Linked DNA regions of Medicago truncatula. The protein of the gene in region 3 binds, or shares a complex with, the protein of the main gene of each other region. Links are inferred from orthologs where the notes say so. Each region holds a gene or a part of one and is shown on either strand. Other genes may lie near its edges. The genes, in order: chlorophyll(ide) b reductase NOL, chloroplastic; probable chlorophyll(ide) b reductase NYC1, chloroplastic; pheophytinase, chloroplastic; 7-hydroxymethyl chlorophyll a reductase, chloroplastic.

Region 1 (7,490 bases), on a different chromosome or scaffold from region 3:
ATGATTTTTTTTTTTATGATTTTATCCAGAATTCAGTGAATGCAAGGTACCAGACTATTCCCTACCCATGGTTGGTTTTTGGGGAGAAAGTAAAGGTCAATGCTGTTTTCATCCGCGATTCCACTGGTGTGTCTGATTCAATACTTATCCTATTTGGTGGTGCTTTAAGTAATGGGATACAGGTGATTTCTTTGTATATATTTTTCTTCCATTAGAAAGATAAGGATCCAAATATTTCAGTACAATAACTTGCCCTTGTTTTTTCCTCCCTGATGGGTTTAGGCCGGGCATCTGAAAATGTTAGATGGATATGTTGACTTCTTTCTGGATCCTAATTTAGCTGACTGCTATTTGAAGCTTAAGGACGAACTTGATAAGCTTATCCAAAAGAAGGTTTGCATATTTTTGTTGTTGTAATTGTATTCCTTCTTTCTTCTTCAAAAAAAAAATTGTATTCCTTCTTTACTTGTCAATACAAAACAATGCTGAATGATAATGGATTTTATAATAATGCAGCTAGAAGATCCAGGCATTGACATTCACAAGGAAGGGAAGTATTTGATGCTTGCTGTTCAAGAATTGGTTTCAGGGGATCAGTGTGAAGGAAGATTTGTGTTTGGTCGTGACAGCCGGAAGCCTAAGGCCTCTAACGACGAGAATAAATTCACTAAAGATGGAACAAACCCCAAGAGCTTGCTGCAAACACTTTTGATGCGAGCAGGGCACTCCGCACCAAAATATAAAACAAAACATCTGAAGACAAATGAGTTCAGGGCATTGGTAGAGTTTAAAGGAATGCAATTTGTTGGCAAACCGAAAAGGAATAAGCAACTTGCAGAAAGGGATGCAGCTATAGAGGCATTAGCTTGGTTAACTCACACCTCTGACAATGCTCAGCCTGAAGACGATAAATCTCCTCCTGATGTCACTGACAACATGTTAAAACTCCTAGGGAAGCGTAGAAAATCATCGAAACGACGTTCTGATTGAATTATTATCAATTGATCGTTTTTTAGGTTAGTTTACCCATTCTGGTGTCCTACATGAGTTTCTCCTAGGCATTATTTAGTGGCTCCTGATTTCGTTATTCTCATTTTCTCCCTTTTTTGAATTTGAAAGGGCATCCAGTTTTGGCATTTGGTTTGCACTTGAAAGGTTGATTGAATGAATATCTTAGTCGTCTCCTTCAAGCCAAATCCAAAATATTTTGTAACCATTATGTACACTAATGTTTATATTTTTTATTTATATATGGTAGGTACAGTTTTGGCAGTTACTTATATAATTTGTACCGGGTCATCATCTTATAGATGCAATAAGTCGTCTCCCTTTTTTGTTTAATATTGCTAGATGAGATATGTAACATCTGTTTTGTACTGGGTAATATTGAGTCAAGAAAACAAAGACATAAAATGATGAAATAACCTCTAAAAAAATGATAAAAGAAATTGAAAAAAAAAATGTTGGTTCAATTTTTAGTGAACTCTCCAATTGTTTCGAATGCGACCAGACCTCACAATAGTTTTGTGCTATGCTGCTCTGATAAGTCAGCTAGCATGAACCAAGGTAACTTGTGCTTCGACATCAAAGAATGCTGTAACTCTACGGTCCGATGACATCAAAGCATGCAAAATTTTTTAGAGAAACTAAAAGTTGAAGGAAAATTTTAGAGGGATTAAAACGAAAAGTTAATATATTTATAGGGACCAAAAACATATTTAACCCTTAATCTTATTCTTTCAAATAATATAACCTATGTGGGCCATTTAATAATTATAAACAAACAAAAATTGTACATAAGCGTATCAATTGACAACTGCTTTCCCAATTCCATTTCGCATGGCATCGTTTAATTGATTTCTTGTCTTTACATTGCACATTGAATTGAAGTAGCAGAGGAGGGATTAAATTACATCAAAATAATATTACATCAAAATCGTTTTACTTGATTCATATTTGTCAATACATTTATGCACAATTTGGTAAAATAAAATACATAAGTTGATTTAAAAATATGGTGAGGAGGGGGGCCGGCTGAAGGAGGGGGTAGATTTGGTTCGCCTTGGTGGCGGATGCTTTGTAATATCCGCGGGGGGGGTTGGAGAGGGTGCAGGAAATTGGTTTGAAGGTAATGTCCGTCGGGTTGTGGGAGATGGTTCTACTACCTTATTTTGGTTTGATAAATGGGTTGGAGAAATGCCTTTGCGATTTAAATTTCCTCGACTTTTTGACTTGGCTGTAAATAAGGAGTGTATGGTGGCGGAGATGGAGAGGGAGGGGTGGGAGGTGGATGGTCGGGCGTGGTTGTGGAGACGTCGTCTGTTTGCTTGGGAGGAGGAGTGTGTGCGGGAGTGCTCCATATTATTACATAACGTTGTTTTGCAGGTTAATGTTACCGATAAATGGTGTTGGGCACTTGATACTACTCATGGTTACACTGTACGAGAGGCGTATCGATTTGTTGCTAATAATGGTCATCAGGTGGATAGGAGCTTCGTTGACAATGTGTGGCATAAGTCTATTCCGACAAAGGTTTCGTTGTTTGTTTGGAGTTTGCTTCGTAATCGACTTCCGACTCGTGACAATCTTTTACGACGAAATATTCTTCATCCGGCAGCGGTCTCTTGCACGGCTGGTTGTGACGTGACGGAAACAGCGCGCCACCTTGAGTTACATGATCATCACAAGCATTTCTGTTTCATGGCGGGACTTCCTAGATGCACTCATGTTTTTATGCAAGGAATTTGGTATTCTTGCGCTTGGGTTATTTGGCAGAATCGGAACAAATGCATTTTTCAAAACGAGCCTTTCGATTCTCACGGTTTACTAGACAATGTTAAGCGTTATTCATTTTTTTGGATGAAAGCAAATTTTAAATACTGTAGTTTTAACTGGTATGATTGGTGGACTCACCCGCTTCTTTGTATGGGGGTCCTTTATTGAATTATTGTGATTTGTGGTAGGGTGGTGCCTGTGTTTGGGCATTTTGTACTTGTAAATATTTTTCGAAATTCCACTTTTTGCACGCCTTGTGCGGGGTGTTATAGCCGGTGTTATTAATATATATCATTTTAGCTTGTGCTAAAAAAAAAAAAATATGGACCAAAAGTTGTGATTGTAAATTTCATAGAGACTCAAATGAAAAGTGTATATTTATAGTGACAAAAAAATAAATTTAACACTATATGTAATTAGAGTAAAGTAGGGGAATTCAAAATCACAAATCTATCGAAAAAGATCGAAAACAACACAAAACTGCCAAATTTGAATTTGTATCGAACCAAACCGAATCACATACATAAATATCAATACTTATTTTTCAATTACAATAATATATCGCTTTAATCTATTATTTGTTGTTTTCTTTGAGTAAAAACTTAGAAGTTAACTATTATTATTTTACTATTTCAAACATTAACTATTATTATCATTCATAATTGTTATTTTTTTAGTATAGTATAAGTTATTTTTTGCATCAAACCATTGATTTTATCATAAATTTAAAATATTATTTTCAATAGATGTTTTCACGAAATTGTAATTTGAATATTCAAAATCCAATCAAAATTATTCCGCATAAAATTGGGTTGGATCGGAGTTTTTAAGAAGTCATCCAAGCCGAACCGCATTACGACTATTTAAATTATTTGAATCGAACGAATTTTTGGTCCATAACTGATTCAAACCGCACTACAAACACCCCTAGATAATAATATTTGTATCATTTTTTTTTCTTTTTGATGGTTAAATTTAGGTTAGGTCCCTCCATGTTTCTTTGTATTTTCTGTATTATTTTATATTATTTAACCCTAGTTTAAATAAAGGTAAATTCTTATTTACAAATGAACAAAACTGAGTGGAGATGACACATATGAATTATTATCAATTGACTCCAATCAAAATAATTAATTTGTCTTTCACTATTATGTTATACATCCTTAAAAAAAATAAAAAATAAAACTATTATGTTATCCAGTAAAACATTGAAGACAAATAAATAATTTTCATTGGTGTCAACTTAGATGAATAATCATATCCTCCTTTATTAATATAATTGTCATCTTAAAAGGTATAATCGAAAAGAAAATCAAACTATCATTATACATAAACAAAGAAAATGTTAACAAATGTTTTTTGATAAAAAAGTTTAAACTAACTTTTTTTTATGATTTATACATTCAAAACATAAAAACTAACTTTTTGTAAAAAATAACTTTTAAAACGTCATAAATAATACTTATTATTCTTTTTTTTATCAAGTAGTCTAGTGGCTAAATGAATAAGTAGGATGTCCGGAGTTCGAACACCGACCCCTGCACATATTGTGCATTATCCCTTAACAAATGAGTTAGCTGATGGGGACTAAACAATACTTATTAATAATCAAAATTTGAATGATTTTATCCGCAAAAATAAAAAGAGTAAATAGAAGAAAATTGGAAGTGTTGAGGCTGTAGCAGTGAATTGGCATGGCATCATCAATGGCTTCCTTTCAATTGCTTTCTTCTCATCAGCTTTGCATCTCTCCCTTCTCTCGTCTGCCTAAATTCAACACGACATTTACTTCCTGCACCCCCAACAGCAACAATAATAACCGCTTCTCTCTTTCTCTCACTAAACCAACTTCTTCATCCTTTCTCATCATAACAGCTTCTTCTAACGACAATACCATGCTTCCTCCTTATAACGTTTTGATTACTGGCTCAACCAAAGGTCTTTTCTTTTTGGATAATTTAAATTTATTTGTATTTATTCTTTGATGGTTGAATGAAAGTGTTAGTATTCAGTGAGTGGTAAAATCTTGATATGTACATGGTTATATCCTATTCAGATGTAAAATAGTTGAGATAAGATTAGAAATGGCAATATTAGATTAAGAGTTCAGGTAACAATTTAAGTCTGTTTTGGATTGTTTTATTTTTTAGCTTATGCAAAACAATTTTTGCAAATAAATAAGCTTGTATGTATTATTCATAAGTTTGTCTAAGGTAGTTCATGAAAAAACAGCTTATGAAGATACAATTTTCGTTAGTGATAACTTATGAATCAATATAAAAGTTTATTTATTTGCATAAGCTATTTTGAATAAGCTCAAAATTAAGTCAATCCAAACAGAAACTTAGTGTATGTTTGGTTCTACTTCTAAAGAGGCCAAATTTGATTTTAAGTTGTAGAATTGATTCAGACATGATTGGATGCTATCGAGTAGAATTGATTTTGCCTTCAGAGTTGATTGTATTTGAAGCTAGAATTTGTAGTTTTTAATTTTAGAATTGATTTTTAAACACAAATTTATTGTTCAAATCACTTTTACATGAATGTATTCAAACACAAATCATTTTACCTTCAACTCACTTTTAGTCTGAATCAATTCTTGTCACCGTAGAACCAAACATACACTAGAGAGAAAACCTGTAGATCTTGTAGTAAGGAGAGTATATTAGATGAAGGGTAGTGAAATCACTAGATGCACGGGAAAACTTAGAAAAACTATAAGAGAAACGATTAAGAAGGATATAAAGATTAATGAGTTGGACTGAAATATAGTTTATAGTTTGATCCATGTAGCCGACCCAATTTAGTGGGATTAGGCTTCGTTGTTGTTGTAACTTGTAAGTTTTGCTTGCACTTTAGTTGCTCATTTTCAACAATTACCTTGAATCATATTTACCTTATGATTTAGGGATAGGGTATGCTTTGGCGAAAGAGTTTCTAAAAGCAGGAGATAACGTTTTAGTTTGCTCAAGATCAGGTGTGGATAACTTCTTGGATTTTCATTATGTTTCAACTATGCATTTGTTTATTTGTTCATGCTATATACTTCAATATCACTTCAAGTTATATGTATATCACTCTGCTATCGATTCATCAATGATTGATCTTTCTGTTAATCTTTCCCTTGGTTCCTTTGGATAAATTATCAATTTAGTTCCTAAACTATCCAAATATAATAAATAGTTCGTAAAGTATATAGAATCCGTCAATTTCGTCTTTGATCGTAAGATATTTGGTGCTAAATTCACAGTTTCCCGTTTCCATATACTTTAGGAAGTAAACTTACGAATTTTATATTCTATATGAACTACCTTTTTTTTCATAGTTTAGGGACTAAATTGAATGCTGGTTTTATTTTCTTTCTATTTAAGTTATGGGTTTTAGGAAAAAAAGGGAGAAGAATGAAAACAAATATGATTTCGGTGTAATACGATTGATAATGATTTGATACTAACTTGGTATAAAAATATAAGCACCAATCACTTTTGTGTTATTGTTTGTCTCAATTTACCTTGTGAATTATGACTGAGTGGTTGGGATTTCACAGTCTTGTTTATCTCATTTCCATGACTTTGTTTTTGTTTTCTCTATATACCTTGGTATTCATTTATAGATGAAAGGGTAGAGACTGCAGTCAAGAGCTTGAGAGAAGAATTTGGGGAGCAGCATGTGTGGGTACCTCCTCTTGAACTTCTATCTTAGTAGAAACCCATCTACGATAAATATATCACTCGTTTTTATGTTCTCATGTTCGCATTTTGTTTCTTGCAGGGCACTACATGTGATGTGAAAAATGGAGAGGATGTGAAGAAACTAGTTTCGTTTGCTAAAGAAAAACTGAAATACATTGATATATGGGTACTAATGTCTGATTTCTTTTTCCCATTGAAATTTTTATTTTGCAATATGAGTAGAAACTTTTTGCGAGGATTTAATTGGTTCTCATTGATAAACTCATGGTTTGATTGATCTACTATGTAAGCTGACGATCTTAGCGAAATTCTGGCCATCTTATTTTCGTAGTTAGATTCACAATCATCATCACTTACACTTAGCATCAGCGATTTTCCTTCCTTCTCCCCTTTCCCTTCAATTCTTACACTGTTTATAATTTGAAATTGTCTCGTAGCTATATCATTGTTGTCAATTATGGCCATGGTGGATCGTGGTGGAGGGTTTTTTGATAACAGCCATGGCCAATTTGTTACAGATTGCTGCACCATGGCGTTTTATGGTGAATATGGTCGCTTAGAGTGATGAATTTTTGGCTTTCCACCATTATCCACCATCCGCATTTGATAACACAAAGCTATACCAATATTTCATTTGTTTTAACTCCCTAATCTTATTGAATGTGTTTGTTAAAATATACTTTACTAATTCTTTTCTTTCTCGGCCTATGCTGAGAATGGTGTAGATCAATAATGCTGGATCAAATGCGTATAGCTACAAGCCACTTGCCGAAGCATCAGATGAGGATCTTATGTGAGTCACTAGACCTTGCACCCTAAATATCATTCTTACATTTTATTTCTTTGAAATTCTTAATTCTGTGCATGCAGTGAGGTGGTTACAACAAACACACTTGGCTTGATGATATGCTGTCGAGAGGTAAAATATATTCTCATGTAAGAGGCACTGTAAATAAAGTAGGTGCTCTGTTATGCATGGATGTTTAGTTTCTATTTAGGCAATAAAGATGATGGTGGGCCAAC
Region 2 (7,787 bases), on a different chromosome or scaffold from region 3:
ATTTTCATTAACTTAAATTTGTGTTCATTTTAAATTGCTAACAACGTGGTAGAAGACTGATGTAGTGAATATATGTGATAGAGAGAAGATAGAAGGATAGTTAGGGAGAATGCATTTTGAGAAACAGCAAAAACAATTTTTGGCATCTTCAAAATTTCTTAAAAAATGTTGAATCTGTTTTTAACAACTGTAAAAGGAAATGGTGAGAAGAGTATTGAATCTATATTCTATCATGTTTATTAGTTGAAGTAAAAATGAAAACAGGAATCATGAAAAAGTAAACAAGCCCTTAAATCGCAAAAGCTCAGTGGAATTAACATCCCAAGATAAGAAACAACAATATCAAGAGAATACTCACACGGCTGTCAGAGGTGTGCTAGAGCCTCCAGAACCTGCACCGTCCATATTAAATATGTGGCCTGGCTTGGTTTGGTTTCTCATAATACGCATGGCTTCTCGGGTACAAAGGATAGAACCAACCAAATTTGTCGAGACAATCTACAGAAATAAACCAACTTTTCAAGCTAAGGATGAAGATGAACAGCCTTTATATTCTAACAAAATAAAAAAGAAATTATGTAGCAACATACCTGTTTGATATCTTCATCGCTGAATTGAAGCAATGGTCTAAAACCTTTATTTGTTCCAGCATTGTTTATCTGTTGAGTAGTTTGAATAAAAATACAATACGAAAAATTAGATTAGGACCAAAAAGCAGAAACCACACTCAGCAAGAAATAAGGAATCCAATATAAAACTTTCATTGAAGTGATAACAAAATCGATAGTAGGGTTCATTAGCTCAATGATGCTCAATCTATGAAACACTGACACAGACACCGAGCAAGATACTAATACTGACACGCTGACACTTGTAAAAATATTATTTAAGAAAATGAAAGTGATTGAATGTAACCACGTGTGTCAGTATCTTGTTGGCGTCTAATGCCGACACGTGTCAAGTGTCAAAGACACATTCAATCTCAAGTGTCAGAGCTACATAGTTCTCAACAGAAAGAACAGCCACACTTACCCAAATGTCAATATAACCAAGTTCGCTGACAGCAAAGTTTGCCAATCTCTGAACATCATTAGCCTCACAAACATCACAAGCAATGCCTACAACTTTTGCTTGAGAAAGCTTTGTCAAAGATGAACCAACTGCATTGGCAATGCCTTCCTTTAGATTTTCCTCAAGCTCTTTGACAGTTGCTTGCACAGACTCAGGGCTGCCTTCACAAAATTCGAGAGCGGGAGCAAAAACACGTTGTGAGCAACAAAATATATTAATTTGATCTCTATAAAATGTTCTCATAGTTTGTGATACCACCTTCGTGAAGTAACAATCACACGATCTCCCGAAAGAAGAAACTCCCGCGCCAAAGCTTTCCCCAATCCCCTCGTACTGCACACAAATAAAGCAATGTCAGCATTAATTTTTTTTAAACATGCATCCAAATAAAGCTAAAAATGTTGGAAATCAATTTCTAGAATACTATCAGTGAGTGAACGTACCTTCCAGTTATGACAACATTACGCGGACCTTCGCGACAATAATCCTCCAACACCCAGTTAGCACCTATCATTGTCCCAATGATAACTCCTCCAAGCCAACTATACCATATCAGTGCATCCATCTGACTATCTCCACCTTCACAAAATTTCCAAAAAATCAACATCATATATGATATGAGGTATGATTGAACGTTAGTGTAAAACTTGTTTACACTATAGTTGGAAACTCGACTATAAGTGCAAATATTTTCAATACACATTCTAAAATAGGAAAGTAGAATATATATACCAACCTGACATCTGAAATCCAATTGCAAGGATGACACCAGTGCTCATCATGGTCACAATATATCTCCCAATCTGAACAGCAATCTTGTTTTCACAAATACAAGAACACGGTTATATTCAACATTCAAAATACAATACAACACAAAATTGAAAGTAAAAATTAAGTGGAAATAACACAACACAGCAAGAGCCTTTTTGGATTTGCTTATTTGAGCTTATCTACTAGAATAAGCACTTGTGACACCAAGTACTTGTGAGACTGTTTGGTTGGAATAATTTATGAAAACAACTTCTGTTTTCAGCTTATTTTTAACTTATTTCTGTAAGCTATTTTCAACTTATTTCCTGCAACTCTCCGAGATAATTTAAGAAAACAACTTATGGATAAGCACTTATTTTATCTTTTGTAATAGAAATAAGCTATACATAAGTTTCCAAACTCTCCAAGATAACATATGAAAACAAGTTATAGATAAACACTTAATTTTATCTTTTGTTATAGAAATAGCGTATCCATAAGCACTTATATGCTAAAACCACTCAATTAAGTTGGTAATCCAAACAGAATCAAGAATGATAGAACCTCATCAACCCTAACAAACAACTAGTACATAAATACATATATGATAAGTGCTTATGCTATATGAAACAATTAATTATCCAAACAGATTAAAAAATGATAAAACATCAAAAACAAGAACTCACCTTAGATAGAACTTCATCAACCCTAACAACAGCTTGTCTATACTCATCATCCAACTTAGAACCCATCATAAAATTTCCCAACAAAACATTTCTAAAATTACTCCAAAACCCATTTTCCCTTTGAACTTTCACTTCATTTTTCTTCAAATTTCTCAACTTTTTCTCCTTCACATCACCACCATCTTCACTCTTGAAAGCCCTACACTTTTTCAAACACAACCCACCAAAATTTTGTCCAAAACCAAACACCCCAGATGAAGAATTTGAGCTACCAAATCCATTTCTAAGCTTATGCTTATTCAAATTACACTCTGGAAAAACTTGAAGCTTAACAATTGTAGTAGCCATGTTTAAGATAAAAAGTTCATAAAAATGTTACAATATTATTGGTACATAAATGTGTTGAATTCATGTAACATGTTTGGTTTATTTATTGTTGTGATTTTGGTGAGAATTGATAACTATGTTTTTGTAATTTTGTGTGTTGCGAAAATATCTAACTGAGTAACACCGATTCATTGGAAAAATGTAACATAATAGTAACGTAAGAAGGAACATTATGGAATGTGATGACCACACGTTAAGAAACCTCATCATTATCGGTTATGGACACGTGGCATTGTGGGTCTTTAGACACGTCACTTTTTTCTTTTGTTAGTGTGAGGTGAAAAATGAACACTTTTTCTTTTGGATTTTTCTTAGACTTAGATAGATTATTATTGAAAGTAAATTATTGTTTTTTCATGTTAATCGTTCGCTTCTACGAAGAGAGTTCAATAATCTCTATGAGCTTAGTTCAATTATTAGAATGTGTGAACTTATTTTTCCATATTTAAAATGTGTGAGCTTCAACCTTATTTCTCCACGTTTAAAATGTGCGAGCTTCAACCACAAAATTATTTGATAAAAAGAAAGTCTAGGGTGCGTTTGATTTGATAAAAAATGAAGGACATGACAAAACAACTCCAATTGTCCAGTGTTTGATTTGTAAAACAGTTTCAGGGACATGACAAACTGGAGGCAAGGGACATGACAAAAGCTGCAATTTTTGTCCATCGCCAAACCACAGCACAACCTTTTGTCTCACGTACAAGTTTTCTAAAATACAAAAATAACATTTCGTCACCCAAAAATCAAATAATACAGAAAATTATTCAATACCATAAAAATTTGTATTGTGCTGTTCTGCCTTATATTGTGTTGTCCTATCTTGTACTGTTATGTCCAATACTTACTGTTCTACAAATCAAACACACCCTAATAGTCTAAAATTCAATCGATAGATAAATAAAATTTGATTAAAAAATTATTCCAGTTAAAAATATAATTTGAATTCTTTCGAACGATTTATCATAACTCATTTAATTCAAAATAAATTATTTTAGATTAAGAAAAGAAAAGATATAAAGTTAGGCAATTAATTTTATTAAGGGTTAGGGAATACATGTATGTCATATTTTAAGCACTTTTATATTTTATTTTTTAAATCATGGCCAACTATTGAAGTTAGTTGATTAGTTTTGTTTTTTATTGACAAAAAAGTTAGTTAAAGTTGTCTTAGTTTAGAGAAAAGAGAAGGATATAAGTTAGGCCTTTGAAATTTTAAGGTTAAGGAAATGCATGGATGTTATTTTTTAAGCATTTTTAATACATGGCCAATTATTGAAGTTTGTTTGTTTTCTTCTTTTTTGGCAAAAAAGTTAGTTAAACGATAAAGTTAGGGGAAGAAATGCATGTTAATGAATATATAATCTAGCTTTTTCGTTCGTTGGGGAAGAATTCATAATCTAGCACAAATGTAGTCTGATGGTTTTCTTTTACAATGAAATTTGTAGCAAGTTTTCATCGATGTTTATTAGTGATTAATCTCCGTTAAAGAATGTATGGGGTAAATAAATTGGGTTTTACTCTCTTAATCGGATTTTTTTCATACATACATAAAGAATTAAACCTTTGACTATATATTTTAAGATTTACGTGAGATATTTATTTGTTCCAACTTGGGAGCCAGGGAGATAGAGTTAGTTCAAACAATCAACTTGCGTGAGATATTTGTTCCAACATTTTGTATCTATTTTAGTTGAAAAAAACAAATTGTGTATGTAAATAGCTTGGCTTAGATTTGGGTTCAAATCTACTTTTTATTTTACGGTCAAATTTAGAGTTTTCTGCAATAAAATAAATATCTAGGGGGTGTTTGTTTCCTGGTTTAAAAAATTATTCCCAGGAATATGGAGGTTGGAATTATAGATTCCTATGTTTGTTACAAAGTTAAAAAAATAACTCCCGAAAATAAAGAATTCCTAGGAAAAAAATAACTTCCACTTACCCATGATTTTACTCCCAAAGAAAGTGGGCGGGAATAAAAGATTCCCATGTAAATGGTACTAAAATGGAAATAACTACCCATATACCCACTATCACAAACAATTCCCATGAATCTGACAATTATTTACCAAACACAATTTTCTAAAAATACTCAGGAATAAGATGCCCATTATTATTTCCCAGGAAAGGTTAATCCCAGGAATGAAATTTTAAACCGTCAAACAAACGCCCCCCTAGGGTTTTCTAGTATATTTCAAAAGCAAAAGTAGTTTCTCGTCTGTAGGATAAAGTAAATTTCATCTTAAATTTTTTTAACGACACATTAGTTTTTTTTTTTTTAAGGAAAAAAAAAAAACTAATATTAGTTGTTCTATCAATTTCTTTTTTTGAGGGAATATTATCAATTTCTTGTCATTCCCTAAAAAAAAAATTCCTGTCATGTGGTTGACCACGTATATTTAAAATGAATTGAGATATTTTGGTCCCTAAAAATATATTTGGGGACAATTTGGTCACCATATTTTTAAATCCCTTCAAATCACATAGTTTATTTTAAAATTTCTAACTTTAAAAAAATAACATCTTCTTGCTGCTTCTTTCTAGTTTTTACTAGTTGGATTGTGTTTTAGATTTTCTACATGTTTCGTTGGTTGTATTTTGGTGTTACCATAATATTTTGGATTTTGAAGTTGCATTTATTTGACCATTGTGTGTTAGACTTGCGGGTGCTATTGAGTTTGATAATGTTATGCACTTTGAATTTGATGGTAATGATGGATAGGGATTATGATGGTTTTTTTTCCCTCCAGATAAAGTGATTTTACGCACATCAAAGGATGATTCTGGATTCGAATTCGGATAGCCACGAAAAACGTTAGGTCTAACGATATCGGTATTTCCATTTGACATTGGCCTTACAAACAATGTTTGTTTTGTTCCATTTAAATGCAAATATTACTATCATCTATTATAATTAAAAATAAGAAAATCTCATTTTAGTCTCACATATAAATATGAGAAGCTCGTTTTAGTCCTTCTCAAAATAAGAAAAACATTTTTGTCCCTCAAAAGTAAATAAGCTGATAAATTAAGTTTTCATCAAGTTTAGGGACAAAAAGCATGAACAAACTGTGGTTTAATTAGCAGCAAGTTAGGGGAAGATGGAACAATAAACCAATTCATAATAACTAATATAATTTAGACACTAAATATTATTAAAGTTAAGGAAATGTATGGATGTCAATATTTAAGGATTTCTTATTTTAAATCATTGAAGTTAGTCAAAACAATTAAGTTAGGGGGAAGAAAAACATGCAATGAGTCCATAATAGTCTAGCTGTAACTTGGGTGTGTGGGCTATGAAGTTAGTTCAAATGAGTTGGTTGAGATATATACTTGTTCCAACATTTTGTATGCATTAGCTTAGATTTGGTTTCAAATCATGAGTGTTATATATATATATATATATAGAGACGACATATAATATTTTTGGTTACGAGAGAAGACATATACTATGAGAACGAGTATCTTAAATGAGAATGATGAGAATAATTGTCAATCATTGAATAAAAAATAGATGGTTGAGATTACAAAGCCTCATTTTAAATCTCTACATTATTAGAATGTAATTTTTCATTTGTAACATCTCAACTTTGACCAATAGATAAGAGTTTTAAGAAGTTTCTCTTTATCTTTTCTATATTTCATACGTTTCATAATATGATATCAGAGCAAATTTAATTTCCTCAATTTTCATTTTCTCTCTTTTAAATTTTCCTTTTCTCAATTTATTTTTTTAATAATCATTTTTCCTTCGTTTTCTCTTACTTTCTCACCGTTTCTGGTTCATTTTCAATTTCTTAATTTTTTCCTATCGATTTCGTTCTAGATTCGTATTCATCATAGAGAGTTGTCCTCTTAGCCATGACTTTGTATCCTTAAGGTACAAACTTAAATATTGTATGTACCATGCCTAGTAGTGGCAATCTTGTAAAAGTTTGCTGAGCCTCAAAACACTAGGAATAATCTGCAAAAACTCTATACATCGGTCCTCATGTGTGTGAGATGATGGAGTAGATTGGTCTAAGTCATGATCATTGTTGGGTAACTCATCATGGTTGGCTAACCGGATAAATGATGAGTGTGAAAACCACTTTGAAAAGGGTGACTGTACTAGCCAATAAGGTTGATGGTGAACCAAGATAAATTTGATGTGTCGTGTATCTCTCTCTATATATATATTGTTTGTCTTTTTTCTTAGGTCAAATTATTTATGGTTTAACTTCATCATGTCTCTATTGTTTTGACACAAAATTAAGTGTTAATAAAGAACTATTGCATTTAACCTTCTGTCGACAAGCTACCTCAGGGGTAATGATTTTTTGGGGTTAGTGGTAATGGTTTATAAGTAAAAAAGTTTTGACTTGTTCAAAAAAAAAGTAAAAAAGTTTAGAAACCCATAAACATAACTCAACCCCCACATTCTTGTGTTATGCACCCACCTTCAGCGTATGTGCGGCTTGGAAGATTTCTATATAACCCTAGTTTATAAAACTAGGGATCCAAATTTTGACGGCTCTGAAGCTTAAGGTGAGATCCAACAACCCTAAGGTGGCACTTTTTTAGGGCTTGGAAACAAGTTGGAACATCTACACCATTGTTGATGTGTTTATCTTTTACCTTTTGAATTATGTTGCTCGTTACTGTTATCATGTGTATTTAAACTCTAATAGATTTTGAATGACTGATCTATGGGTCCTTTTTTAATATGATTCAAGATATGTTTATGTGATATATATATATATATATATATATATATATATATATATATATATATATATATATATGTTGTTCTTAATGCTTTTCAAGTTCTGATCAATTTTGAATTGATTTTAGGTTATATCTCACTATTAACATTAGGTTTTGTAAGTGTACCTAGATATGTTATTTGCT
Region 3 (7,306 bases):
CAAGTTTTTGGATCAAATTTGGGCATAGGGAAGTTAAAATTGAGATTTTGGGGGTGAAAAGTGAGTTTTTCCCGAGTTGCTCTCTGACAGCACGTCCTGTTTCATGTGTTTGCGTCTTTTTCACACGTTTCTGTTTTGAATTGGCCTTTGGTGTAAACATGAAAGTTGTAGATAATTGAGTTAGCTTTCCAGTGGCTTTGGTTTGATGTGAAAATGATTTTTGGCTCTTGAGATATGATGAAAATACTCCAAGGAGGTCTAAGTTAATCCAAAACTTAAGGAATAATTCCAAACCTCAAAACTAGAAGTACTATGAGTTCAACTAGGGTGTTTAAGAGTATTTAACCTATGTTGTGATAGATATAATTTGGTTTGACGTGAATATCTTTGTTGGATAATTTGAAATACATATATTATGTGAATGTTGTTGTTGAATAATTTGAGTTACATATATTTATGTGGAAAATGTATGATATAGAAAATAATGTTGTTATACCATTCAAGTTGTTATTATTAATGATGTTATGTTGTGAAGTTGTAGTATGTTGATGTTTCTGCTGTATTGATTATTAAATCATTAAGTTGCATATGTTGGTCAAGTTGTTAAAGTTGTAAGTTGTTGTCAATGTCGTTAAAGTTGTAAGTTGTTGTCAATGTCGTTAAAGTTGTAAGTTGTTGACGATGTCGTTGAAGTTGTTGGTTGTTGTTGCATTAGTTGTTGAGTCCATGCATACTCATTTACGTTGAAGGCTTGATGCTCTGTGAACTTTTGCTCTTTAAGTTGAGGGCTTGATGCCATGAGAGTGTATTTATGCTCAATACGTTGAGGGCTTGATGCCATGTGAGCTTTTGCTCTTTAAGTTTAGGGCTTGATGCCATGGGAGTGTATTTATGCTCAATATGTTGGGGGTTTGATGCCATGGTTGGTACCACATGCATGATTAAGAGGTTGTAGTTGCATTTTTTTGAGATGGTCTAAGATGAATAAGAAGTCTAAGTTGCATTGTTAAGTTGAAGTTGTGTCGTTGTTGTTAAGTTGCTATTTACCCATGTGTCGTTAACGAAGTGCTTATGATGATGATTATGATGTTGATTATGTTGTTATAAGATGAAGTTTATGATGTGTTGTTTATGTTGTTATAAGATGAAGTTTATGATGTGATGACTTATATTGTTATATGATGATGATTATGATTTGAATATTATGTTGATTGAACTTTGAAGGAAAATTAGTTAATTATTCCAATTATGTTTTAAGAAAAGAAGTGTGACATTCCGTTTATGATGAATACTCTGATTATTTAAATGGAAATTTTATGTTGGGAAAACGGGGTGTTATAACGATCCTATTATACTTATGTGTAAATAGTTTTATGAGATGTAAAAATCCTACATCATTCTTAAAAGCCAAACCAAACACCATTGAAAACTCAATTTTTCACTTTTGATAATTGTAGAATCACTTCTTGATGCTGAAAAGCCAAAACAAACAGGCTTAAGTGATAAATCGACTTCTGTTAAGAATAAATTGTTGAGCATCTTAACTAGACATATTTTAACACGTACTTTTACAATACACTTTACAATAAATTGTCTATACACTTTGATACGCACTTTACAATACACGTATTGTTGAGCATTTGAACTACATCTGAACTACAGATTATCAAAGCTTTCACCGTAAAAACTCTTGAATTTTTACTTGCTGTTTTGGAAAAAATGAGTACTAACATCACATTCTTTGACATACCTTTTTTTTTTAGGCAAAATAAAAATTATATTAAACAAAAAGAAAGATACAAAGATTGGGGGGCATGAGACCTGACCCAAGTACAATCTATACAGGAATACATCGTAATAAACCGTACCGAGAGGACCAGTCCTAATCTATTCTTACAAAAATTTACTAGTCACGGACGCAGCCCAACGAACCCGCGTACGGGCACGATACCGAGCTAAAAAAAAAAATGAAGAGTGAACTTTTGCAAAAACACAGTTAGGATTTAAAAAATATATTCTTTGACATACATTTTCAAACACTTTCATTTTTTATAATTACAATTTTAGTCCATCTATATTTACTATTTTGCAGAATTGTTCTCCATATTTAAAAAACTCATAATTTTGGCATATGATTTTGTTTAAAGAAGATAATTAGCTCACTCAAATTAACACCAGAGAGAATTTGTCGAAAAATAAATAAAAAATACCAGAGAGAATCGAAGTTGTGACCATGAGAAAGAACACACTCTAAGGTTACAAATCAATATCATCAGACTAACCCAAGTGGATTTGTCGTGATATATGATCTAGTGATGAAAATCAACATCAATTAAGTTTTAAAAAAATTCCTTAAAAATATCATTTTAAACATGTTATGTCACGATATATTAGACCAAATAATTGATGGGTGTATCAAAATTGTCAAATTTTAAAATAGGAGGATCAATTCTCCAAAATGGTGAAAATATGAGAATCCAATCCGCAATTAAGTCTAAAATTTACTACCTAGATCTTACTAAATTTTGTATGTCCCATATAAATTTGATTGGATGCGTTCAAAAATGTGTGTTGTAAGCTATGTTATTTTGAAAAACCTATTTATTGTCGTCTCAAAATATAAGCAAAAATGAATTAACATATGTTGATGTATTTGATACAAATTTTGGATCAAATACATTAATTATATAGGCGTAATTACCTTTTTGGTCCTCTAACTATTTAATTGGTATCAGATTGGTCCTCTAACTAAAAAATGATTTATTTCGGTCCTTTAAGTTTCTCACCGTTACTAAATTTAGTCCTTTTTGTTAGTTTTATTCAAATAAACGTTAGGGTTTATGCTATGTGGGCACTTGACCTCCTATTTCACACATACATATGAACCATAACAGTTACCAATAATATCAGTCACTATTTAATCATAATACCTTAACAAGGCATAGGACCAAAATGATACTAATAAATAAAGTTAGAGGACACACATAACAGAAACTCTAACGTTTATTTGAATAAAACTATCAAAAAGGACTAAATGTAGTAACGATGAGAAACTTAAAGGATCGAAATAAATTATTTTTTAGTTAGAGGATCAATCCGATACCAATTAAATAGTTAGAGGACTAAAAAGGTAATTAAGCCTAATTTTTATTGACCAATTTTTACTTATACTTTGGAATAGATGGAGTATGTCAAAATCACAATGATCGATAAATATATCAGAATTACAATGATCCATCATTATTTTCCAAAAACTACACTTTTTACCTTATGAAAAATCGTGGTGGATCATAGTGATTCTAACATCGGTAGCATTCTATCAATCATACACTTGAATTCCTACCATGTTGGACACGTGTGTACTATAAATCAAAACTAATGTGTGGCCAATATGAAATATTGGTGGTGGGTAGAACTTTGGCTCTGTCTAATTTTGTCCAAACTGCGTGCGTTGTGGGGATGATTCCTCTGTAGAAGACAAAACCAAACTTATCACATGTTTTCTCAGTTTGCAAGACAATTATATTTACCTAATAGAAGACTTAATATTCGAACATGGAAGCTAGTTTAATTTATTTTCTTTTTAAACTAATTTCTTAATCAACTAATTTAAAATATTAGGTTTCAGGATTTCTTCTTAACTAAATTAACAAAGTTCCTCATTTTAACTTAATTTCTTCATCCAACTCCATCAGCATAGTTATATATAATATATATTATATATAATCAGCTCCAAAAAAAACATGGTTAACTTTATATTAAAAAAAGTCGTAGTTAATTTAATCTCTTCATTTAACGAATACAAGGAATACTTAATCATCGCTCCACTATATAATTTTAGATTCAATATTTATATAAAAATAATAAAAAATTAAATTGGATATATCTTATACGCATAACTATAGAGATTAATCATTCGAATTAAATAAGTTGTAATAAATGAAAAATTTTATTAAATTTATGAACTTTGATTAAATTAAAAGAGAAATATTATCATCTCATCTAACTGTTTTTAGATAAATTTTTTCTTAAATTTAATTTAAAATTTAATAGACTTTTAAAATAAATTTTGTATAAGTCATCTAATATTATAGTAAGTCTTTTTTAGTTTAATAAACTATTTGACTTTTTTTATAATTATTATTAAAATGAAAAGAAAATAAATTATTATTTTTTAATAAATTGAAAATAAATTATATTTATCAGATGCATTTATTAAACAAAATTTTATAAATACCAAAAAAAAAGTGTGTAAGTGTGTATAAATTAAACTCATAAAAATATATTATTCGGTTTTTCTTGGCTCATAGAGGAAGTAGAATCTTCCAAGCAACTCTAAACTATTGTATATCTCTCTTTGGATCTGCTCTTAATCCTATAACAACTAATATATACCAGATTCTTTGAGTAGTTCTAGATTCTCATGCTTCTTCTTTCACTAAATTTAAGGTAATGTTTCCATAAACATGTTCATGTTTTTATTAATTATCACATGTTCATGTTTAATTGATGTTTGAAGAACTAATTTTTCTAGTTTCAATTATTTGTGTATGAAACACATATAATATTTGATTTGTTCTAAAAAAATTCATATTACTTTGTTCATGTTTTTGTGAAAATCAAGTTGAATTTTTAGCATACTGAATCATTTTCTGTTGTTGGTTTCTGTAGAACATAGTTGCTAAGAAATGGAAACTCTTTCATATGGTTCTGCACCATGTTGTCAAGTTATGAACACAAAGACAAAATCAGTTAAAAATAGTTCGAATTCAACTCAATCAAGGGTTTTTTATATTAGAAAAAATGGAGGTTTTTATATCAATAATCTTTACACAATTGGGTCATTGAGATTTTATGATAAGGGTAATCAACAAAGTGGGTTTAGGTCACAAAGTGTTTTTGAAGGCTCTAAAAGACTCAAATTTAAGGTTAATAGTGGAAGTTATGGTGATTATGTGATTAATGAAGGTGAAGGAAGAGATATTGTAGGGGTTGATGTACCTGCTTCAAAGGTTTTGATTCCTGGTTTACCGGATGAATCAAACGGTGAATCCGGTGCGGTTATACGTAGTTGTTTTAAGGGATGGAAACCTAAATTGAATGTTCATTATGAGAAAGCTGGTTGTGAAAATTTGGATTCTCCAAATGTTCTATTTTTGCCGGGTTTCGGTGTTGGTTCTTTTCATTATGAGAAGCAGTTGATGGATTTAGGTCGTGATTTTCGAGTTTGGGCGCTGGATTTTTTAGGACAAGGAATGTCTTTGCCTTTTGAAGATCCTGCTCCTTCGTCTAAGGAAGGAGGGGTTACATCGAGTGGAAATGTTTCGCCTTGGGGTTTTGGAGATGAAACTGAACCATGGGCGAATGAGCTTGTGTATTCGGTTGATTTATGGCAAGATCAAGTTCGGTACTTCATTGAAGAGGTAAATGACTTGCACTGTTTGGTAGCAGCAAATATTTAGTTATTTTAATCCATTGTTTGCTCAAATAGTATACTGGAAAATGTTCTTGGCAAATTTGCTTGTTCCTATGTGGTTTTAGATTTTTTTTCTAACAACTTATGCTGGATTATTGTCTAAAAAAGAAAATTCTGTTTGAATTGACTTATTTGAGATTATCTACTAGCATAAGCACTTGAGAGACTGTTTGGCAGAATTTATAAAAACAACTTATGACATATCTATAAACTGTTTTCAGCCTATTTCCCTAAGCTCTCTAGGATAGCTTATGAAACAGCTTATAGCTTATATGAATACAGTTTGAATCTATGCTATAAACGCTTAGTTAAGTTGTTTATCCAAACGAGGTTAGGTAAATCGATGTAGAAGTACTCTTGTATTCCATAAATAATGTTGTCTGTAATCATCAGCACTTTAATGCTTCCTATACTTATAATGCTTACTCAAATATGTAATGTTGCTGAACTTTTCTGCACTATCTTCAAAAATAATATTTGAGGAAGTTTTTATATCACTATAATCTAAATGTTATTATACAAATTCGTTTCAGGTCATCGGTGAACCGGTCTATATTGTAGGCAACTCACTAGGAGGATACGTTGCTTTATATTTTGCTGCATGCTATCCTCATTTAGTGAAAGGCGTGACATTGCTTAATGCAACACCTTTTTGGGGGTTTCTGCCAAATCCAGTAAAATCTCCTGGACTTGCCAAAGTATTTCCATGGGCCGGAACATTCCCTCTACCTTCAAATATAAAGAAACTTACAGAGTTGGTGTAAGTATGGCTTCATTTTTATTTATTGCTTCGTTTTTTTCTTAGTTCCTGATATGATTTAGTATTTTAGCTGCGAACTTCTGATTAGTACATTTCTTGTATGTCGCCAATATAGTCATTCATTTGCGAATATAATAGTTGATCATCTGAGTGATATTATACTGCTGATAGTACACCTCCAGGTGCCCTTTATCATATCTATTACATTTTACCTGATTCTTATTAATTTGTTTCCTTTAGGTGGGAGAAAATTAGTGATCCGAAAAGTATTGCCGATGTACTTAATCAGGTTTACGCAGATCATTCAATAAATGTGGATAACGTTTTTTCACGCATAATCGAAACCACAAGACATCCTGCTGCGGCAGCCTCATTTGCTTCAATTATGTTTGCCCCCCAAGGGGAATTATCCTTCAGCGAAACATTATCAAGGTAGACACGACTAAATCTTTAACTAGTATTAGATATACGTGATACACATGTTAATGGTTTTTGCGGTGTGTATGTTTTAGATGTCGAGCGAACAAGGTGCCGATTTGCCTCATGTATGGAAAAGAAGATCCTTGGGTGACACCTATATGGGGACTTCAGGTTAAAAGGAAGGTTCCTGAAGCACCATATTATCAAATCAGCCCTGCTGGTCACTGCCCTCATGATGAAGTCCCTGAGGTATGCAATTCCTGACCTATTAACTTGAACAATTCTTTCTGTTCTTGCTTCTTTTTAAGTGCAATATATGTTAAGAGCCGCACATTGGATACGAGTTAGGCCTGAAAATGAATTTGTAAGTTGGAGGCATCCCTCATCTTACAAGCTAATTCTGTAGGGTTATGTTAAGCGGTTAAGCTCAGCTGTAATTCTTAGATCATAAAAGAGTTTATGCAAGATCTGTTGGGCCACCTGCTATTGAGTCTATGAAGCACAGACACTCCTCGGATTAGGCGTGTTCCGATGCCGGACACGTGTTGTGTCTGACACCGACACATAATTACACTGAATTATGTGATTTTCTCAAATTATTAGCAATGTCAGTGTCCATGTCGTGACTAGTGTCCGTGCTTCATAGTTGT
Region 4 (6,904 bases), on a different chromosome or scaffold from region 3:
CCCACATAAACTTTATCCCAAGAGGAATACGTTCGACTATCATACAAAATCTTTACCATTCATTAAGTGAACCAATTCGAGTAGCATCGACTCACTTCTTCAAAGCGATACTCATTTCCACCGTGGGAGGGAGCTGACAACATGCAACCCCCTCTCTCCATAAGTAGTCGAGATATGAATAACATCATTCGTAGCACAAATGATATCTCTCCATATGATTGCATCTCCATAGAGGAGTCTCCGACACCACTTCCCCATCATATCTTGGTGAACCAGCCTCTGATCTCAAATCCCAAGACCATCCCCCTTTCGACTTAGGCCGACACACATCCTCGAAGCAAACCCAAGATATCCCAGTGCCCCCTGTTCTACCCTCCCTAAACGAAGCATCTCTCTAGCCAAACTTTCCTCTTCCATTCCTTGACATGGATCTTAATTAACGAGAGGTAGAAGATTTCAATTGAATGAAGCATAAAGTTAATTAAGACCACCCTCCCACCCAAATTAACAAACCTATCACTCCATGAACGTACACTCTTAGCAATAAGCTTAACATCAGGTTCAAATGTCCATTCTTTACTAGGATATGCCCCGACAGGCACACTTAAATACTTGAAAAGAATATACCTCACTCTACAATGGAGGAAGCTAAGATAAATTTAATGTTGATTTCGTATTTGAAGACAATAAAAAATATATTGAAAAAAGAATAACAACTTTAGTAAAAAAAATAATAAAGAATAACAATCATATCTAAAAAATTGTAAATGATCTTTATATGCGGGGATAAATTAGCATACCCCATAGTCTTTAATATGATAATTTTTATAAAAAGAAACTAATATTAATGAACTTATTTAATGTTATAAAATCGATAATTTTCTAAAAAAATATCCTTAACATCTTTGTTACTGCTAACTTGTGTCGGTTTTGGATTTTCGATTGGTTTATGACTTGATTTTAAGTTGTCCTTGTTTTGGGGAAGTTTTCAAGCTAAGCCTTTTTTCGATCTGGTTCTGTTTAGGTTACCACTCTATTTGAAGATTGTTCGAAGGATTATTTCCTAGGTTTTGGTGGGTCGATTGTTCTTGCTTCAGGATTGAGAGTTAGTGTCTATGTCCAATTATTTAGGTTGATTATAGAGTCTTCTCCGGTAGGATGGGAGTTGTGGGGGTGCCTTAGTGATTTGTCTATAGTATATGGTGGGTCAATCGCTTTTGATTCAAGATTCATAATCAATTTTTTGACTCAATTTTTTTGCCTTGTTATGGTGTGTTCTCTGACGGACCGGAGGTCGAATGTAGGTAGAACCTGAAGGATTGTTGGAGTAAGCCTTTTCTTTGGTGTTTAATCGAGCTCAATTGTGGAGATGAGAAGATGATGTTCTGTTTTCGAGGGTTTTGATTGGTTGGATGGCTTGTTTGAAGCGTTATGGTGAGTAGTGGACAATATATGCTTGAATTTTGTTTATGTTGTCATTCGCGAGGAAGTGTGGGGTCTTGATTTGACTTAAGTGTTGACTTTGATTTTTGGTGGTTATTTTTCTTATTGGTGTTGGTGGTAGCACTGAGTTTGGTGTTATGGTTTTTTTTTTTTTTCCTCGATGTTCCATCTATATAAGACTTCTTGTTTTGTAGTTTTAGTTCATGTTTTTCTTCTGCAGAGACTTGATTGTTAAACGTTGTTGTTTCAAAAAGAAAAATATTCACTTTGTTGAAAATAGTTTCATTTTCTTAAAATAAAAGCAAATCCTTAAAGAATATTATTGTTACAGTTTTACTTTTAACCATGTTCATGTACAATTTTAATCTTGAATTTATATATTATTTATTAGCAAAATTATATAATTTTTTTTATATATTTTTATATCAGTCATTAAGATAAATAGAACATAATTTTTCTTCAATTTTTTTTTTTTTTTTTTCATTTTACACACTACTTCCGTTGAAAATAATTGTTGCAGTTTGACCATGTACACTACTTACGTAACTTACTTTGATCATATTTATTATTAATATATAAAGAATAATGTTAATAAATAAAATATTGTTTTATTCTCATAGTAAAGATTTTTAAAATATAAATTTTAATGATTTTTGCTAATAAATTATTTAAGATATTAATGGTCAAAATTATGCATTGACATATATAAAAATTAAAATTGTAACAATTATTTCAAGATAAAGGGAGCACCATTGTTCTTTGTATATTAGTAAATAAAAATGATCAAAGTAAATAACTCGTTAACAAGACCCATATTTTAAATGATCAAAATCTAATACTTAGTTTGAGATGGAGTAGTAGTTAGTTTTATATTCCTTTCGTCTCTTATTATAAGTCTCTTTGACTAATTTCACATATTAAGAAAAGTAGGTAGTGTAGATAATATATCAAATTTGTGTGTGAATTTTACTAAATTGTCCTTTGTTTATGTGTATTTAATTTTCCTTTTTATATTCCAATGCAATTTAGTTGTATTAATTAGGGATATATTTAGGAAAAAATAATAAATGCATCTAATAATTTGTATAAGCCTTATATTTAGACAAGACTTTTTTCAAAGAGAGCTTATAATTACGGATTGTTGGAGTAATTAAAGACAAAGGAAATTAGTACACATGATCAAACTCTAACACTTTGTGCGGAAAAGAAATTTTTTGTATGGTATATTTTTTCTTTTTGTTAACCTTCGATTTTCTAGTAAAAGTTGTCTAGTAATTTGAAGTGCGTTCGAGAGTAATTTAAGTTTGGTCGATTATTATTTCATCTAGGAATCAAACTTATGTTCTTTGGAACAAATTGTCTTTTTGTAGAGTCGATTAACCACTTTTTTTAAGCAAGTTCATTAACCACTTGAGTTTAATTGTTTGATTAAAATTTTCGTATGGTATTAAAAATTAAAATTAAAACTATTGATTTATTTTTCAGTTGATCAAATTATATTTTCGTTCTCTTAACTTAATTTGCACATATATTTTCAAATTGTAAATATATAACCTTCTTCGTAGGGGAATTACTCATCAGGATGACACCTCTTGCATTGGGGGGGGCGGTTGTTCTGAGACTGCGGCTCATCTCATTCTTCATTGTGACGTCTTCGGTTCAGTGTGGCACTATGTTTATCGGTGGGTAGGCATTTCTTTTATTGCTCCAGCTACAGTTGGTGACCACTTTCAGCACTTTGGACAGTTGGCAGGTTTGTCGAGGTCTGCTAATTCTTTTCTAACAGTAATCTGGCATGCTTGTGTTTGGGTTATATGGAAGGAAAGAAATAACAAGATTTTTCAGCAAAAGTCATTGACTTCGGATCGTTTATCAGAAAGGGTCAAGATTATGTCTTTTAATTGGCTTAAGGCAAATATGCCCAGCTTCGCCTTCAGTTATAATGACTGGGGACAACATCCTTATTATGCATGGGGTGTGCTGGTGTAGCTTTTTGTCTATTTATTACGCTGTACCTTTTGAGTTAAGACTGTACCAAACTTTGTTTTGTTGGGTGTTCTCTTTTGCACATTTTGTGCAAGATGAATCACCTTTGATAAGTTAATATATTTCATTTTGGCTTATTCAAAACAAAAATTCATATATAACGGAAATGAAAAACCATAGATTTAAAGATTGAGAGAACATAAAAAAATGAAACCATAAATTTTAAACATGAAATCCATATGAAAATAAATCAAAAAGGAAATAATAAAATAAAATAAATAAATAATTAAATTATTATCTAAAATTTTGTTAAAAGACCAAAATGTTATTGTGCCTTTTTTGAATTTTATTACATTAGAAATCCTCTTCTTCTTAACTTTGTTGTGTGGAACAGAAAAAGCCACATCATCATCAGTGTTCACTCACTCACTCAGCTGAACTGAGTTTACTGCTAAGCAATGTCTTCTCTCTCTTCGCTACCTCTTTCTCTCTCTATTCGTGCTTCTTCTTCATCACAAGGTAAAGTACTACCTACCAGCTCTTCTTTTTCTCTGCATGCTATGAAGCACTCTTACGGACACATGAGACTTACACACGGACACCGATAATAATTTGATAAAATCACATAATTCAATGTAATTATATGTGTAAGCGTGTCCGTATCAGGGACATGCCTAATTTGACGAACGTCCGTGCTTCATAGTGTGCATGCAACCTTCCTTCACTTCTCTTTTCTCATATCAGTCTTACCCTTCTTGTTTTGGTAGCAGAATCCTCCATTTCAAAACAGGACTGGAGGAAAAGGTCAAAACCTATCCCACCAGGTGGAACCTACCCAGCTAAAGATCAATGCAGTCGTTGTGGATTGTGTGATACATATTATATTGCTCATGTTAAGAATGCTTGTGCTTTCTTGGGAGATGGAATGTCTAAAATTGAAGTAAGTCTCTTTAATTTATGAATGATGCTTATCTATGTCATGTAAATTTTACTCTTCAAATTGGTTAAAAAAATTTGTTTTTTGTTTTTGAAACTTTTATGTGATATGAAAGGACTTTTTAATATTGTTTGTAATTGTTAGCATTATGTCAGATGTAGGGATCAAGTTGATTTTGTAAGGCTGAGTTAGTCTTAATATAAAAAAAATAATATGGTAGCAGAGCTATTCATTTGGGTCATCCGATATCGACTTGGGTTGGTCTGATGGTGTTAACGTGAGACCTTGGAGTATGCTCCTCGTTAAGGTCCCAGTTTCGATTATCTTCGGTGCCAATTTGGGTGGGCTAGTTTAGTTACTTCAAAAAAAAAAAAAAGTTATCCAAGCATTAGGTCCAATAGTACTGGGCATGAAGAGGCCAGTGTTGTAATGATGAGTTAGGCCAAGTGTAAAACATAGTAGGACTTGAAACTGAAAGAGAAAAGGAGAGGAACCCTTTTCTTCTCCGACTTGAGTTTTATGTTCGCTTATTTCACAAAGTTACTAACAAAGTGATGATTTTTGGGAACAAAGCTGTGTTGCTTAGCCACATTAATATCAAATCAATTAGTTTGCACCTAGTGGAAATAATCAATAAGCAGCCATTCTAGTGTAGAAGAATCTGGCATTTGAACTAGATTTACTTTTTCAACAAAAATGGTTCACTTCTATTGAATGATTACTTGTCAGGACTATGTTAATGTTAGTACACTTTGTTGCACAAAGCTGATAAGGAATTATATCAAATTGAAATTTCAATATGCAGCAGTTATTTCTTTGTGACTTCAGCATTAAATTAAACTTCATTTATTGTATGCCTAATTCAAGCATTGCCTTAATATTCTTATAAGCATTAATCATGAGAATTTTCATAACTGATATAAATATATCCAGAAAATGACAAAGTTTATACAAACCAAAATTGATTGGACTCTTTATCATTCCTTTTCTGTTTCAGAAATTGGAACCTGTTGTTCATGGTAGAGGGAGAAAAACTGATACCTTAGACGAGACATACTTAGGTGTCTTTGAGGAACTTCTGTATGCTCGGAAACTTAACCCTGTCGAAGGTATATTCTGACTTTAAAATTGTTTAACTCTTATGCTTCCTCGTTCTAATGAGTATGACACTATCAAATTCGAGAATCTTTGAGTGCAGTGTATTTATTGCGCTCAAGTTTTAGAGTTCAAACTATAATTTTGTTATGCTGATAAATAAGCATTTAAAATTATTCTGTTCTGCTTTTTTAGTGGGACCTCTTGGCTATTCTTTACCTTTTAAGAAGCATTTTTTCAATGGTTTCTCTGATATGTGACATTGGTAGGTAATCCCTTTGTGGGTATTTAGATAATTGAATAGTTAGGCTGACTATAAATACTAAATAGGGAGGACAGATCAGCTTGTCATTTGAAAGAATACGGGCCTTTTGACATTGAAAGGTGGGAAAACCCTCAAAGCTCTGCCACTATTCTATAAACCAGGAAATTGTTCCCCATTTTTTGTTGCAAGACCAGTTTGTTCCTAGCATACTTTGATGGCCTCCTAAATTTATTTAGGATCATAGAAATTAAGATCACACCGAAATGTTTCATTGATATAACTATTTCTGTTTCCTTTAGTATTTAGTTTGGAGTAAGGCTTCAATGTCAATGTCTAACGCCTAGTTTGGATAAACAACATAATTAAGCGCTTATAATATAAGTTATGTATAAGCTTTTTCTATAACAAAACGATAAAATAAAGTCAAGCTGATTTCATATAAGCTATAAGTTGTTTTCATATGCTATCATGGAGAGGTTATAGAAACAACTTATAGCTTATGGATACTTCATAAACTGTTTCTATAAGTTCTTAGCAGTTTCGCAAGTTTGTATTCTAGTAGTTAAGCTTAAATTAATCAATGCAAAGAGGCCCTCATTGAGCTTTTGGACAGACCAGAAGCTTAACTGTAATTTAAGATTGGAAAACATTATATAGCACGACACATGGTTGTTGTCAAATGCACACGACGTGTATTCTGCCAACAGCTATTTCAGTTTTTTAAAATTATTTTAATCAAAATTTAATTTAAACCAAGATGATGATGCCATGTAAACAGTCGTACCTGTCGTGTGTGGATTTTGTCGTGCACAATAGCACAGCTCTTTAAGAATTACTTGTCTTGTACAATGAAATTGTGTTTCGAAATGTCCTGCAGTTGCAACTAATTTCTTGATTAAATTATTTATACAATTATGTCTATGATGGGCATAGTCATGTTATCAAAGTTCTGATGAACAGTTTTACTTGTAAAATTCGTTCTGTTCATAGGAGCTCAATGGACTGGTATAGTAACAACCATTGCAATTGAAATGCTTAAATCAGGCATGGTTGAAGCTGTTATCTGTGTACAAAGGTATCATAAAAAATCTACATGTTTTTATTGGAGTCATATTTCTAGTGTCTTTTCGTTCTTTAATCTGACTTTATTTTCTGTGTAATTAACTTTGATCTAACTT

The links.
Region 1: pheophytinase, chloroplastic (region 3) and chlorophyll(ide) b reductase NOL, chloroplastic share a complex: the UniProt entries of both Arabidopsis thaliana proteins name them as parts of the SGR1-CCE-LHCII complex. The link is inferred for Medicago truncatula from reciprocal best matches to the Arabidopsis thaliana genes PPH and NOL.
Region 2: pheophytinase, chloroplastic (region 3) and probable chlorophyll(ide) b reductase NYC1, chloroplastic share a complex: the UniProt entries of both Arabidopsis thaliana proteins name them as parts of the SGR1-CCE-LHCII complex. The link is inferred for Medicago truncatula from reciprocal best matches to the Arabidopsis thaliana genes PPH and NYC1.
Region 4: pheophytinase, chloroplastic (region 3) and 7-hydroxymethyl chlorophyll a reductase, chloroplastic share a complex: the UniProt entries of both Arabidopsis thaliana proteins name them as parts of the SGR1-CCE-LHCII complex. The link is inferred for Medicago truncatula from reciprocal best matches to the Arabidopsis thaliana genes PPH and HCAR.

The regions. Positions count from the first base shown.
Region 1 is NC_053049.1:16,823,061-16,830,550, reverse strand, and holds the start of chlorophyll(ide) b reductase NOL, chloroplastic, read left to right. Parts: upstream 1-4,469; coding exon 4,470-4,713; intron 4,714-5,683; coding exon 5,684-5,752; intron 5,753-6,388; coding exon 6,389-6,450; intron 6,451-6,546; coding exon 6,547-6,633; intron 6,634-7,192; coding exon 7,193-7,260; intron 7,261-7,337; coding exon 7,338-7,386; intron 7,387-7,465; coding exon 7,466-7,490. Other genes in the region: DExH-box ATP-dependent RNA helicase DExH3, read left to right, coding at 30-182, 283-393, 517-990. UniProt on the Arabidopsis thaliana protein: Required for chlorophyll b degradation. Chlorophyll b, chlorophyllide b, pheophorbide b and pheophytin b can be used as substrates. Belongs to the chlorophyll catabolic enzymes (CCEs).
Region 2 is NC_053047.1:40,284,782-40,292,568, reverse strand, and holds the start of probable chlorophyll(ide) b reductase NYC1, chloroplastic, read right to left. Parts: upstream 3,003-7,787; 5' UTR 2,856-3,002; coding exon 2,508-2,855; intron 1,887-2,507; coding exon 1,808-1,886; intron 1,651-1,807; coding exon 1,515-1,650; intron 1,405-1,514; coding exon 1,330-1,404; intron 1,229-1,329; coding exon 1,033-1,228; intron 660-1,032; coding exon 591-659; intron 499-590; coding exon 359-498; intron 1-358. UniProt on the Arabidopsis thaliana protein: Involved in chlorophyll b degradation. Belongs to the chlorophyll catabolic enzymes (CCEs).
Region 3 is NC_053044.1:11,853,793-11,861,098, reverse strand, and holds the start of pheophytinase, chloroplastic, read left to right. Parts: upstream 1-4,287; 5' UTR 4,288-4,449; intron 4,450-4,671; 5' UTR 4,672-4,688; coding exon 4,689-5,423; intron 5,424-6,009; coding exon 6,010-6,236; intron 6,237-6,476; coding exon 6,477-6,668; intron 6,669-6,748; coding exon 6,749-6,905; intron 6,906-7,306. UniProt on the Arabidopsis thaliana protein: Alpha/beta hydrolase dephytylating specifically the Mg-free chlorophyll pigment (pheophytin), yielding pheophorbide. No activity on chlorophyll. Belongs to the chlorophyll catabolic enzymes (CCEs).
Region 4 is NC_053042.1:17,899,641-17,906,544, reverse strand, and holds the start of 7-hydroxymethyl chlorophyll a reductase, chloroplastic, read left to right. Parts: upstream 1-3,887; coding exon 3,888-3,948; intron 3,949-4,199; coding exon 4,200-4,369; intron 4,370-5,363; coding exon 5,364-5,475; intron 5,476-6,716; coding exon 6,717-6,801; intron 6,802-6,904. UniProt on the Arabidopsis thaliana protein: Probable iron-sulfur flavoprotein that converts 7-hydroxymethyl chlorophyll a to chlorophyll a using ferredoxin as a reducing equivalent. Catalyzes the reduction of a hydroxymethyl group to a methyl group. Belongs to the chlorophyll catabolic enzymes (CCEs).